2 linked regions of the Drosophila melanogaster genome follow. The protein of the gene in region 1 purifies or fractionates together with the protein of each later gene. This does not show direct contact. Each region holds a gene or a part of one and is shown on either strand. Other genes may lie near its edges. The genes, in order: B-H1 and Tim8.

Evidence for each region.
Region 2: the proteins of B-H1 (region 1) and Tim8 purify together in Drosophila melanogaster (affinity purification with mass spectrometry, with the first as the bait; one large-scale study listed by BioGRID). This does not show direct contact.

What each region holds. Positions count from the first base shown.
Region 1 is NC_004354.4:17,395,328-17,403,477, forward strand, and holds B-H1 (BarH1), read left to right. Parts: upstream 1-2,150; 5' UTR 2,151-2,366; coding exon 2,367-3,189; coding exon of another isoform or gene 3,190-3,194; intron 3,195-6,137; coding exon 6,138-6,366; intron 6,367-6,500; coding exon 6,501-7,083; 3' UTR 7,084-7,951; downstream 7,952-8,150. UniProt on the Drosophila melanogaster protein: B-H1 and B-H2 are regulated by members of the wg signaling pathway; wg and dpp. B-H1 and B-H2 are coexpressed and functionally required in R1 and R6 receptor cells and primary pigment cells for normal eye development.
Region 2 is NC_004354.4:11,366,599-11,369,994, reverse strand, and holds Tim8 (Tim8), read right to left. Parts: upstream 1,551-3,396; 5' UTR 1,460-1,550; coding exon 1,370-1,459; intron 1,292-1,369; coding exon 1,115-1,291; 3' UTR 712-1,114; downstream 1-711. Other genes in the region: hop (hopscotch), read left to right, coding at 2,533-3,396. UniProt on the Drosophila melanogaster protein: Mitochondrial intermembrane chaperone that participates in the import and insertion of some multi-pass transmembrane proteins into the mitochondrial inner membrane.

The sequences.
Region 1 (8,150 bases):
CAGGCTCACCACCACTCTGCGGAAACAGATCAGAAATGGAAATGGACGTACTTTTGGATCAGCTTGGACAGGAGTTGGGTATCGCTGGTGCTGCATGTGGGTTGGTGTGGCTCAAATTGGAGGCACATATGAGGAAGATATATAACAAATGAAATCTTATGAATTTGTATATGGGCACATTTTCAAAATGAAAGAAGGAACTGAAAAAGAATACCTGATGTATTTTTCTGCATATTATATTATCTTGTTGTGCCTCTTATTCTAAAAACTTTGCATCTCCATTGATGCAGAATTCTTTTGCGGATATTTGCAGTGCAAACAGTCCTACTCAATGAGTGGACATTAGGCCAATTAAGGCTACTTTCAGATGGCAAGATACGCAGATAGGTAGATCGAAAGATAGATATATGGATATGTGGATAGGTATCCGAGCGATAGAAGGCTGCACATGGACAACTGTTAGCCAGTTCGTAGAAGAGGCCGGAAAAACGCTGCCAACTGTCCAAGTTCGCTGGCAACTGTCCAGTAATCGAGGGGCAAAGGGGGTGTGGCATTGGGACAACTGCGCATTGCGGTTTCTGCATTTGTACATTTCTTTTTCATAATTTCTCGCATGTGCACTGAGAAAAAAGGGGGTATCCTTTCGGTCCTATGTCTCTGTCTTATGTCTTTGTCTTTATTTTTTGGTTTTTTCAGTGCCAAATTCTGGGCTTACTTCATTTAAATATTATATTTTATAACCAATTCGTTTTTAACTTAATATACTAAACTAAACTTCTCTCAGTGCTGACATTGCTGGCCGAGTGCAATTATTTTAAGCATTCAATTGGCATTGGCAGTTCGAACTCGAATCGACCGCAGACCGCAGGATATACGACTGGGCTGGCAATTATATGCATTTAAGTGCAATAACCGTCATCAGGACGAAGGACTCGGTTGACTTTTCCTCGCATTTGATGCTCCGGCAGACGCTAATTATTTTAATGCGCTCCGCAATTGAAGCGCGCGCTTCAGTCCGCTTTACCCCCGCCCCCGGCGCCCTAATTTCCCCGCCACTAATGACCTTCGCAGGTCACCTGACCTTTTCCCCCTTCCGCTCATGGTTCTCTCCAGGTTGGTTCAGTTCCTCGACCGGAATCAATATCAATCAAACGGAAACCGCCGCTCTCGACAAATTGCATTTGTTCATCCCGCTCCGCTTCCCTTCCTGCAATTAGTCCTGGACTAACATGTGGCCACCGAAACAACCCAAAGGTGAGCCTAACCACCGGGCTATTGGCGTGAAATTTTAATTGCCATCTTGTTGTCTGAGAGCGTGGAATCGAAAAAAGCGACGCCCAAATGTCGGGCGTATAAGGTTTTTCGACTCAAAAATCGAACAATTTGGTGTTAATTGAAGTTCTAATATATAAAGCAAACACATTTAAGGAGCTCTTAAAATATGTCAAGCCAAATGGGACTAAGATTATTTTTAATAAATCAATGATAAAACATGATTGATAAAATTGTTTACTGGCTTGACGTTATTCGCAGATTTCTAAGCGAATATATATAAAAGTATTATAATATTCTTATGTGATGGGAAAGACAGATGTTTTGACATTTCGGAATTGAAAAGTTTTGGTAATTTATGTCTTAATGGTCTAATTGTTAAAGCAGTGAACATAAAGCAGAGTTAATATTTTTGGAATAATATTTTGTTCACAAAGAAGAGTACTCTTCACATAGTAATGCAGTAGCATCGTCTCCATCTCTCAGATCCAACTAACTTCCTCGTAGCGCCATTTTAGGCCTTTTTCAAGGCCCTGAAGAGCTCAAGAGCGTTTGACCGACATTTGGTGCTATAAAAACCGAGAAACCGGGGAGAGACTTTATTTCACCACGCCGTGGTGGATTCACCACGGTGCCGGCAACATGGCGCTGCGCGAGAGAGTGACAGCCGATGAGACGGCGAGAGCCGTGGAAGCGAGAGGCAGCGAAAGCGAGCGACTGGCCATCCCCCTCCGGCCTTCGGTAGCATATGCGGCCCAACCACCGCCTATGACAAAGTGGCAAAATTGTTGCCACAGCCGCCGCTCGAGCCTCAGCCGCAGTCGGCGTCGGCAGCAGCGTTGGCAGCGGCGGATCGGGCAGGTGCGTTTCATAAACGTTCAGTCTCGTTTTGGCAGCCAAGCCGCTCACGACGTCGCTGGGTGAAAAGTTGAGATAAGGCCAAGAAAACAAAAAAACAAACAAATAGAAGACAACTTGACATCTATAGGAAACTCCAGTGAATGTGAATTTTTTTAGTGAAGTGTTGAAAGCAAATATAATTCGTATAAATAATCGGCAAGAAAAGGGAGAAAGAGTGAAACCCCCTAAGTCCTATGAAAGACTCGATGAGCATACTCACCCAAACGCCCAGCGAGCCAAACGCAGCGCATCCCCAGCTGCACCACCACCTCAGTACGCTGCAGCAGCAGCACCACCAGCACCACCTCCACTACGGCCTGCAGCCACCGGCGGTGGCTCACAGCATCCATAGCACCACCACCATGTCCTCCGGCGGCAGCACCACCACCGCCTCGGGCATCGGTAAGCCCAATCGGTCCCGCTTCATGATCAACGACATTCTGGCGGGCAGTGCGGCGGCCGCTTTCTACAAGCAGCAGCAGCATCACCAGCAGTTGCACCACCACAACAACAACAACAATTCGGGCTCCAGCGGCGGCAGCAGTCCCGCTCACAGCAACAACAACAACAACATTAATGGCGATAACTGTGAGGCATCCAATGTTGCTGGCGTCGGTGTGCTGCCATCTGCCCTGCACCACCCACAACCACATCCGCCCACGCATCCGCACACACATCCGCATGCGCTAATGCATCCGCACGGCAAGCTGGGGCACTTTCCACCCACCGCCGGCGGCAATGGGTTAAACGTGGCTCAATATGCGGCGGCCATGCAACAGCACTATGCCGCTGCTGCTGCCGCGGCTGCTGCGCGCAACAATGCAGCTGCTGCTGCAGCCGCCGCTGCTGCCGCTGCAGCTGCTGGTGTAGCCGCACCACCCGTCGACGGGGGAGTGGATGGCGGGGTGGGGCTGGCGCCACCGGCGGGCGGCGATCTGGACGACAGCAGCGATTACCACGAGGAGAACGAGGACTGCGACAGCGGCAACATGGACGATCACAGCGTTTGTAGCAATGGTGAGGTGAGCCTCTGTACTATGCGGGGGGTGGGGTGTTGGCGGCATTAGAGGGTGGTGGGTCAGTATAGCATTCTCGCTAATTCTCGAAAATGCATTTTCAAGCAGGAATTTTCTTCATTCAAAACAAGTTCGCAATGTTTTATAAACAAATATTGGGTCGAAATAGAACCAATTATCAACAAATCTGATTAATGTTGAGCCTTATGATAAAAAATATTCAATATTCAAATTATCCAAGTCATTTTAAAATAAAGCTATCACTGCCTGGTGCTAAGCTTATAAAGTACATATCAGATATTTTTACAACTCTACGACCACTTGCCTTTTTTTTTAAACAGTTGTCCAGATTGTTTTGTAAAGCTAGACACAAAACATGCAGATCTGATAAGTTTAATATTTTTTAATTTGAACGCAAATTTTTTATTAATGATATTGATATTGCGTTTTAGTAACATATTCCCTTTAGGTGATATTAAATATATTTGCACTTAACCAATTCTCAAATGTAGTGAGTGTAAAGGCAGTCGTAAAATAAAATTACTCAAATTCCCCTTTAAATCGTGTTAATGGTTCTGTTGTGAAACGCATTTCATCATAGCCAATTGAAAAAGTAATTCAATTAGGTAAAAAATAAGTAAGTCCGTTGTGCAGCAGTCAAGTTCGTTGCCTAAGTCTTTTGTATTGAAGCGTGCGCCTGAAATGGGGGCTAAAGTGTGGAGCGCGGGGGTGGGGCGGCGGCCCTCGTCGATGTCGCTTTGCAAAACAAACTGTAAAAATTATTGCATGACCATTTTACATTCTCGTTCTTGTTGCTTCTATTTGTTGTGGTTTTAGTTGAAAAAAAAAAATACTTTTTCACGCTTTGTTTCCGTCATTGCGAAGCTTCTAAAGTCCCCTTGCCTCCTCGCCCCTCCTCAAACTTGGGGGCATGCACCTGCGAATCTGAGAGCTATTATGGCAGAATGGAGGCGTGGCTCGCAGTGGGCGGGGGGTTGGCGGAAGAAGAGGATCTGCCTGAAATGCAACAACAAAATGCAGTTTAAAACTGCCGCAGCCGCAGAAAAAATCTCAAATAATTACACACATCGCACTCACTGTTCCCCGCTTCGCCGCTCGCTCTGCTTCCTCCTCCTATCTCACGCACCTGCCCCCTTCGCAATCATTTAATTGTGGAAATTGTTATAAAAATGCATTTAACCCGCTTTAATAGACGCCCCATGGCAATGGCAGCCGGGCAGCAGCAAACGAAAAAATGTTGCAGTCTGTTTGCTCATCTCATCGCCACTCGGTTCGTTTTACTTCGCTTTTGGCCAGCTTCTCATGCGCTCCACTCCATCTGGGCCCTGTTTTGTGCCATTTATTGCCGCAATTTCCTGTTGCCAATTGCACTTTTATAAACGGTAGTCGCGTCGGCCAGCTCTTTTGGGATGACAGCCAGCGGGCAGGGAAGGCGGCAATCCGTCAATTCATTGGAATTTCACAATTGCGATCAGCTTCAGTTACAAAAAAACCAAAATGAATATTGATCACTAGATTTTATTTATAAATTTAATGAAAAATCATAATTATAATAATAAAATCAGATAGGAAAGTTAACTTTTAAAGCTTATATTTGAATTATAAATTTGTAAAAAAAAAAACAAATTAGGTTTTTTTTTAACAACACTGTCGCCCAATTTTATTTGGCACATAATTCTTGATTTTTGGTTTTGCCTTTTTTTTAACGCTCCACAAATTATCGCCCGCAAATCGATAATTCAGCAAGTCGGCGCCAACATTCGTGAGTAATTTTCTTTAATTGCAAATTAATTTTATTCAATTGCGGCATTATCGCTCATTTATCGCTGCCATTAATCATTTATCGTTTACGTTTTATATGGTAAACAACTTTCGCCTTGGCGGCAAAATAAGCTCTTGATTAGCGATGATTAATAGAAATAATTAGCAATGCATCTTTATTTGCTTCATATTTCAAAGTTCAATTAGAGGCATAGCTGGATTTTCAATAAATAAAATAATATTGACTTCTTGGTATCTCATTATCAATAACAAAGATTGAGTCCACTTATTTAATGGATCGTGCAAAATTAAAATCTTGAAAAGATTTTATTATTGTTTGTCTGCTTCCTGATAAATTTATATGCTTAAAACAACAAAAATATGCTAAGATTGTTAATTTCCCCGTTTCTAGGCCTTATTAGACCAAATTTAAATGCGGCACTTGGCAAGTTTTCGCTTTAAATAATTTAACGCTTGAGAGTTTACTTAGCCCGCGTCAACCCCTTAACCCCCTCGTGCCCATGGGCCAAAAACTCGCTCTCGCTTATCGGGTAACCACCATCGGTTGAATTTACATAAATTTTATGTACTAAATGGCTGGCCAGAAAAGGTGGAAAAGCGGCCTTTTCTGGCCAAGAACACTTTTCGCAAAAAGGGGTGCTTTGGCCTGGTCAGCTTGCCTATCTCTCTTGCGGCTTTTTGTGGCAAGTTTAGACATTTTGCGGCACGTTTTTATTACACTCACACACACACGAACCGCTTTGTGAGCGGAAGCGGCAATTGCGTGGCCATAAACGAGCCTCTAACTGTATCTGCAACTGTTTTAATAGATCGCACAGAGATCTAAATCGAATTAGCCTTATGGGCATACCAAATCACCAACAAATAGTGATTTTCGGTAAACCATCTCGGCAAATGTTAAAAACTAGTTTTTAGGCATTTAAAGTTTTATAGAAATGTAACTAATATACCTTCGTTTTAAGTTTAAAAGGGGGAAGTGAATATTATAGTATGTATTATAAACAAACTTCATATTTTATGATAATAAAAAGTTTTGGAGTTTTACGCATATCCTACTTTGCCAAATGTGGTATTAGATTAGACATAATGGACTTTTTGCCCTTAGTTTCTTAATATTTCTAAAATTGAAATTCTCTTTTCTTTCAGGCGGTAAAGATGACGATGGCAACAGTGTCAAGAGCGGCTCCACCAGCGACATGAGCGGTCTGAGCAAGAAGCAGCGAAAGGCGCGTACCGCCTTCACGGATCACCAGCTGCAGACGCTCGAGAAGTCCTTCGAGCGGCAGAAGTACCTTAGCGTTCAGGAGCGCCAGGAGCTGGCCCACAAGTTGGATCTGAGCGATTGCCAGGTGAAAACTTGGTACCAAAACCGCAGGTGGGTTTTAACTTTAATGATTTTTTAATTTGTATTAGTTTTCAAAGATGAACTTAAGAAAATACAATAAAATCTATACACATATATTCTTATTGAAAGTATACTAAAGTTTGGTATCTATTATCATTTTGCAGAACCAAATGGAAGCGCCAAACAGCAGTGGGCCTGGAACTCCTCGCAGAGGCTGGAAACTTCGCGGCCTTTCAGCGACTTTACGGCGGATCGCCTTACCTGGGCGCCTGGCCGTATGCGGCCGCTGCCGGCGCCGCCCACGGAGCCACGCCCCACACGAACATAGACATCTATTACCGTCAAGCGGCCGCTGCGGCCGCCATGCAGAAGCCACTGCCCTACAACCTATACGCCGGCGTTCCGTCCGTCGGAGTGGGCGTCGGGGTGGGCGTGGGTCCGGCACCCTTCTCCCACCTGTCCGCCTCCAGTTCGCTGTCCTCGCTGAGCAGCTACTATCAGAGTGCCGCTGCGGCTGCCTCCGCTGCCAATCCGGGCGGACCGCATCCGGTAGCGCCACCACCTTCGGTGGGCGGAGGATCTCCGCCCAGTGGCCTGGTCAAACCGATTCCGGCCCATTCCGCATCCGCCTCGCCGCCACCAAGGCCACCATCGACGCCGAGTCCAACGCTGAATCCGGGCAGTCCGCCAGGACGATCCGTTGACAGCTGTTCCCAGTCGGACGACGAGGATCAGATCCAGGTGTGAGCGGTACGCCGGAGTGCGGCGATTGTGTGCGTGTGCTAATCATCGGGTTTGGGCGGTCTCAAAAGTGCGATTTCCAAGGGGATACATAAACTACATAGTTGGTTTCACGAATTTAAGTTACATATCACTCATTTTGTAAATCAGTCGGATCGATGATTTTATTGTTCCATAAAACATAAAAGTTTACATGGCATTTAGGTTATTTAGATGAATCAGCAGTTGCATTATTCGTGCACCATATCACAACATCGTTTTTATGGTTCAAACTTTAGTACAAAGGTATTTTGTTTAAATTTAACCAAAATATATTTGGAGGCATTTATAAACTTACGATCTAAACAAATTATTGTTTAAGGTCATAAAAAGCAGCACAAATGAGTTCAGTATTCAAAACAAAATCATGGAACCGAAAATTTGAATGGAACATGCATATTAAAAAAAAAAACATTTGTCAAAGATCAATATCCACAAGAATTCGCGTTTTTGAATCTCCCCTTAAGCCCCGCTTGTGTGTGTGTGTGCCTGCGTGTGTATATATATATTAATATCCCTGTGAATCTGTGTGTGTGCTTAATTTATTTGATTTGCTCTTAGTAACTTATTCGAAATGTTTTTTAAAGAGTTTTTTTTTTTCAATATAAGATAATGAAGTAAAATTAAGCAAATATTTATTTAAATGTTGTAAAAACTAGCAGCCAAAAAAGCAAAATAATTTTGTATAGTTAAGCCTAACCACGAAATGTATTATCGAATAAACAATTTTTTTTTTGTCGGTAGCCTAGACCTATAAACGTTGTAACTGTAAAATGTAAAGTACATTTAACCGCATATTTTTTTGTCTAAATAAAAAATAACAGAATGTGAGAATAGAGCAATCGTTCTGCGGGATTTCGTTGGGAGTGGGGGAGGTTGGACGTGTCCCGGGGCAATTAATATAATGACCAACAGAAACAATTTACAAACGATGTGTGCGGGGAGGGGTGGCGGGAAAGGGGGTTTTATGACGACGTGCGAGCCAACCCCTAATGATAATAATTGCATGCAAAATGCATTTAACCGCAATTAGT
Region 2 (3,396 bases), 6.0 Mb from region 1:
ACTAAAAGGTGCACCGTTAAAAAAGTTTAATGTCCCTTTTTTAGTCCTGCAGGCAAATCAAGGTAACTTTTCATGCTTCTCTTCACTTGATCCTTTTTCACGCTTTTCGCTTCTCCTTCTGAACTTCTACACTTCACAGAAACCGACACCGACTGTATATTTTGCTATGTATATTATACACGGACACACACTCACTGGCAAAAAGGACATGCGTTTGGCACAGCCTTCGGGCATTTTATGTTTAATATAAATAAGTAGCGGCAGCACGTTGGAGAATATATATTACGGTTTTCTGCTCTGCTCACGGGAACACTAGTTCTAGTTGGGATCAGTGTGACCAGAGGCGCGCTGCGTGTGCAGCCCAATCAGAAGTCCTGGGCAAACGTTCAAAGCGAGCGCGGGAAATAGGTCCGCAAGCATTGCAAGTATTACCTTTGGATTTAGCAGAAATGCATTAATATTACATTTAGTATTACATTTTATACAGGAAATGGCAGCTACATTTGTGTGTTCAAAGTTGCGTAAATATGAATTCCAATTGGAAAGTTGCCGATAGGTACTTATCGAGTGGAAGCACTATACTATCGATATGGAATAACTTTATTTATTCTAATAAACATTTAAGGAACACCTACTATTTCATTCTAAGCCCCTTTCCAGCCTAATTAAATTTAAATGTATGTTGAAATGATCCAATTTCAATTCTATTTTCCTTTCTGCATAATATTAAGCCATCTATCAACAATATTTCATCATTATAAAAGAAGAGATTAAAACTATCCAAGCAAAGGATTACAACACAATGCATTTTAAACGTACGAAACGAAAGATGTATTTATTTTCGGTACGCTAACGTAGGGCCGACCAAACAATTGAGTTGCGCTACCGAATTAAATATTAATTCCGGAACTCGAATCACGGATTTCAATTTCGGGCTGGGTGCAGACTACGGGCCACATACTTTGGATGTCGGCGGCGAAACGCAGCGCGGAAAAAAATGTGCTTACATGATAATTTTTTGTTTAAAAATAGATTTAACAGTAGGACAGTGACGGAAGCGTCCACGGACTCGGATACCCAGATCCCGGTGTCGGTGTCGATTAAGCGAACAAATCTACAGGTCGCCGCCACCTCGCTTTTGGAGCATCTGAGCGAACCGCTGGGTGATAAGCAGCGACGTGTCGATGAATCGGTCGACGCAGTTGCTCAGGCACGTCTCGGTGGCGTGGTCCAGCTTGGTACTCGGCTTGCCGATGCACTTCTCCCAGCAGATCTCGTTGAACTCGTGTATCTGGCGACGATATAATGTGCGAGGGCATATTGTTATGATTACGAATGGTTATTATGTGTATGGGGGAACCCGGCTCACCTGCGCGTTGACCTGTGCCTTCTGTTTCTCAATCAAGAGGAACTCCTGCAGCTCCTTGTCATTGCCGGAAAGGTTCTCAAAATCGGACATCGTGTGATTTTCAGTGAGCAATCTACAAATTGACCGGGCTCGTCCGGAATTTCATATATTCTAAGGTTTGAGGTTATATAAACGACACTGACAGCTGTGAACTGTGGAATTACAAAAATCGATGTGTATTCGATAGCAAAGCTATTCGATACTGGAAATGCCGTGCATATTGCACTGTTTGCACTGTTGTCATATTTAAATGGCAAGAATATAGACGCCATAGAGCAAATAACAGTATATTTTTTTTTCTTAAGCATCCTCCTCCTGCCAACGAGGGTATACAATTTTCAAGAATACATTTCTAAAGTAAGTTGTTATTTATATTTACTGAGAACTATCGAAAAAGAACTAGAACCTCGCGTTGCCAACCACTGGTTCGCAAGGTGCGATAGTACAGGTTATTGGACAATCGATGACAAAGTGGCTCGGCCGTCGGCCAATCGATATCGTGAGGTGCAAATTGTCCGATGAATTTCACTGAAATTCGTGGCTTGTATTGTAGCTTCGCAATTGCAGCTTCGTTTCGACAGCAGGCCCACTTTCAGATCGAAGGCGTCTATAATCGCCATCCAGTCCCGTCGCCCTGTTCCCACAACGCCCCACAAATTTCGGGATCTAGCTGGCGTTTCGGGTGTCTAATTTCGGACCAGTGCACTGTGATTTCCGATTTCCAGTTTACTTTGCTGACGGATCGCCCAAGTGGCGAAGTGGTTCTTGCTCGGAAAGTTGGCGCTTGCTAAAAGAAGGAGCAGTCCAGGTGGTTCCCCGCCAGTGGCATCAATGGAACTCGCGCTGGAGTTTGGGGCAACCTTGCAACTGCAAGGGTAAGAGCATCGCCGATTCCAGGAGCATTCGCAGTAAGCCCAAAAATAGCAACTCAAGTCAGTCGCGGTGGTCATTGTTATTGGCAAGAAGAAGAGGAAACGGATAGAACGCGGCAAATTCCTAGGAAAGCTCCCATGATCTAGCTTCAGTGCGGCCGCGTAAGGAAACTGCTCCAGCCAAGGAACTGGGCTTGCAGGAGCAGCAGATAGCACCCAGCCCACAAGGGACCACTCACCGACAATCCTCTCATGGCCCTGGCCAACGGGGGAGAGGATAGAATGGACGACAGCAGCAGCGGACGCACTTCGCTGGCGGACAGCGCCAGCCTGACGAACTCCTCGCTGCGCAGCGGCACCTCCTCGCAGAGCATCCACACCAACGATGGCACAATCCGTGTGTTCAACTTCACCACCGGCGAATTTGAGCGTTTCCATCCCAACATGCTGTGCGAGGAGATCTGCAATACGATGTGCCGCCAGCTGGGCATTGCACCAATTGCCCAGCTGCTCTACGGAATACGGGAGCACTCGACATCGCGACGTCCCTCGCCGCTGGTGCGTTTGGATCTGACGTGGTGCCTGCCCGGCGAGCGACTCAACTGCCAGCTGGTCTATTGCTTTCGGATGCGTTTCCGTGTGCCCGAATTGGATAGCCAGCTGGAGTTGATCGATGGACGGAGCCACAAGTTCCTCTACCGCCAAATGCGCTACGATATGCGGACCGAGCAAATCCCGGAGATTCGCTATCCGGAGCACAAGGACAAATCAACGGGACTGGCCGTGATGGATATGCTAATCGACGATCAGGAACAGTCGGAGGATCAGCAGGCGATGCGCTCCATCGAGAAGCTTTACAAACTGTATTTGCCACCGAGCTTGTGGCGCGCCCACAGCTTCTTTGTGGGCTCCAAGATACGTGAGGTTTTCCGCAGTCTAAAAGCGAATTCGCTGAGTGTGGAGCGTTTGAAGTGGCACTATGTGCATCAGGTATCCCATTTGGCGCCCACCTATATGACCGAACAGTTCACCTGCACCGTTCAGTATCTGCCCAACGAGGAGGTGGCCCGCGGTAGCGGACCCATCGGCACCAGTCTGGCCCACTCGACGTCGACG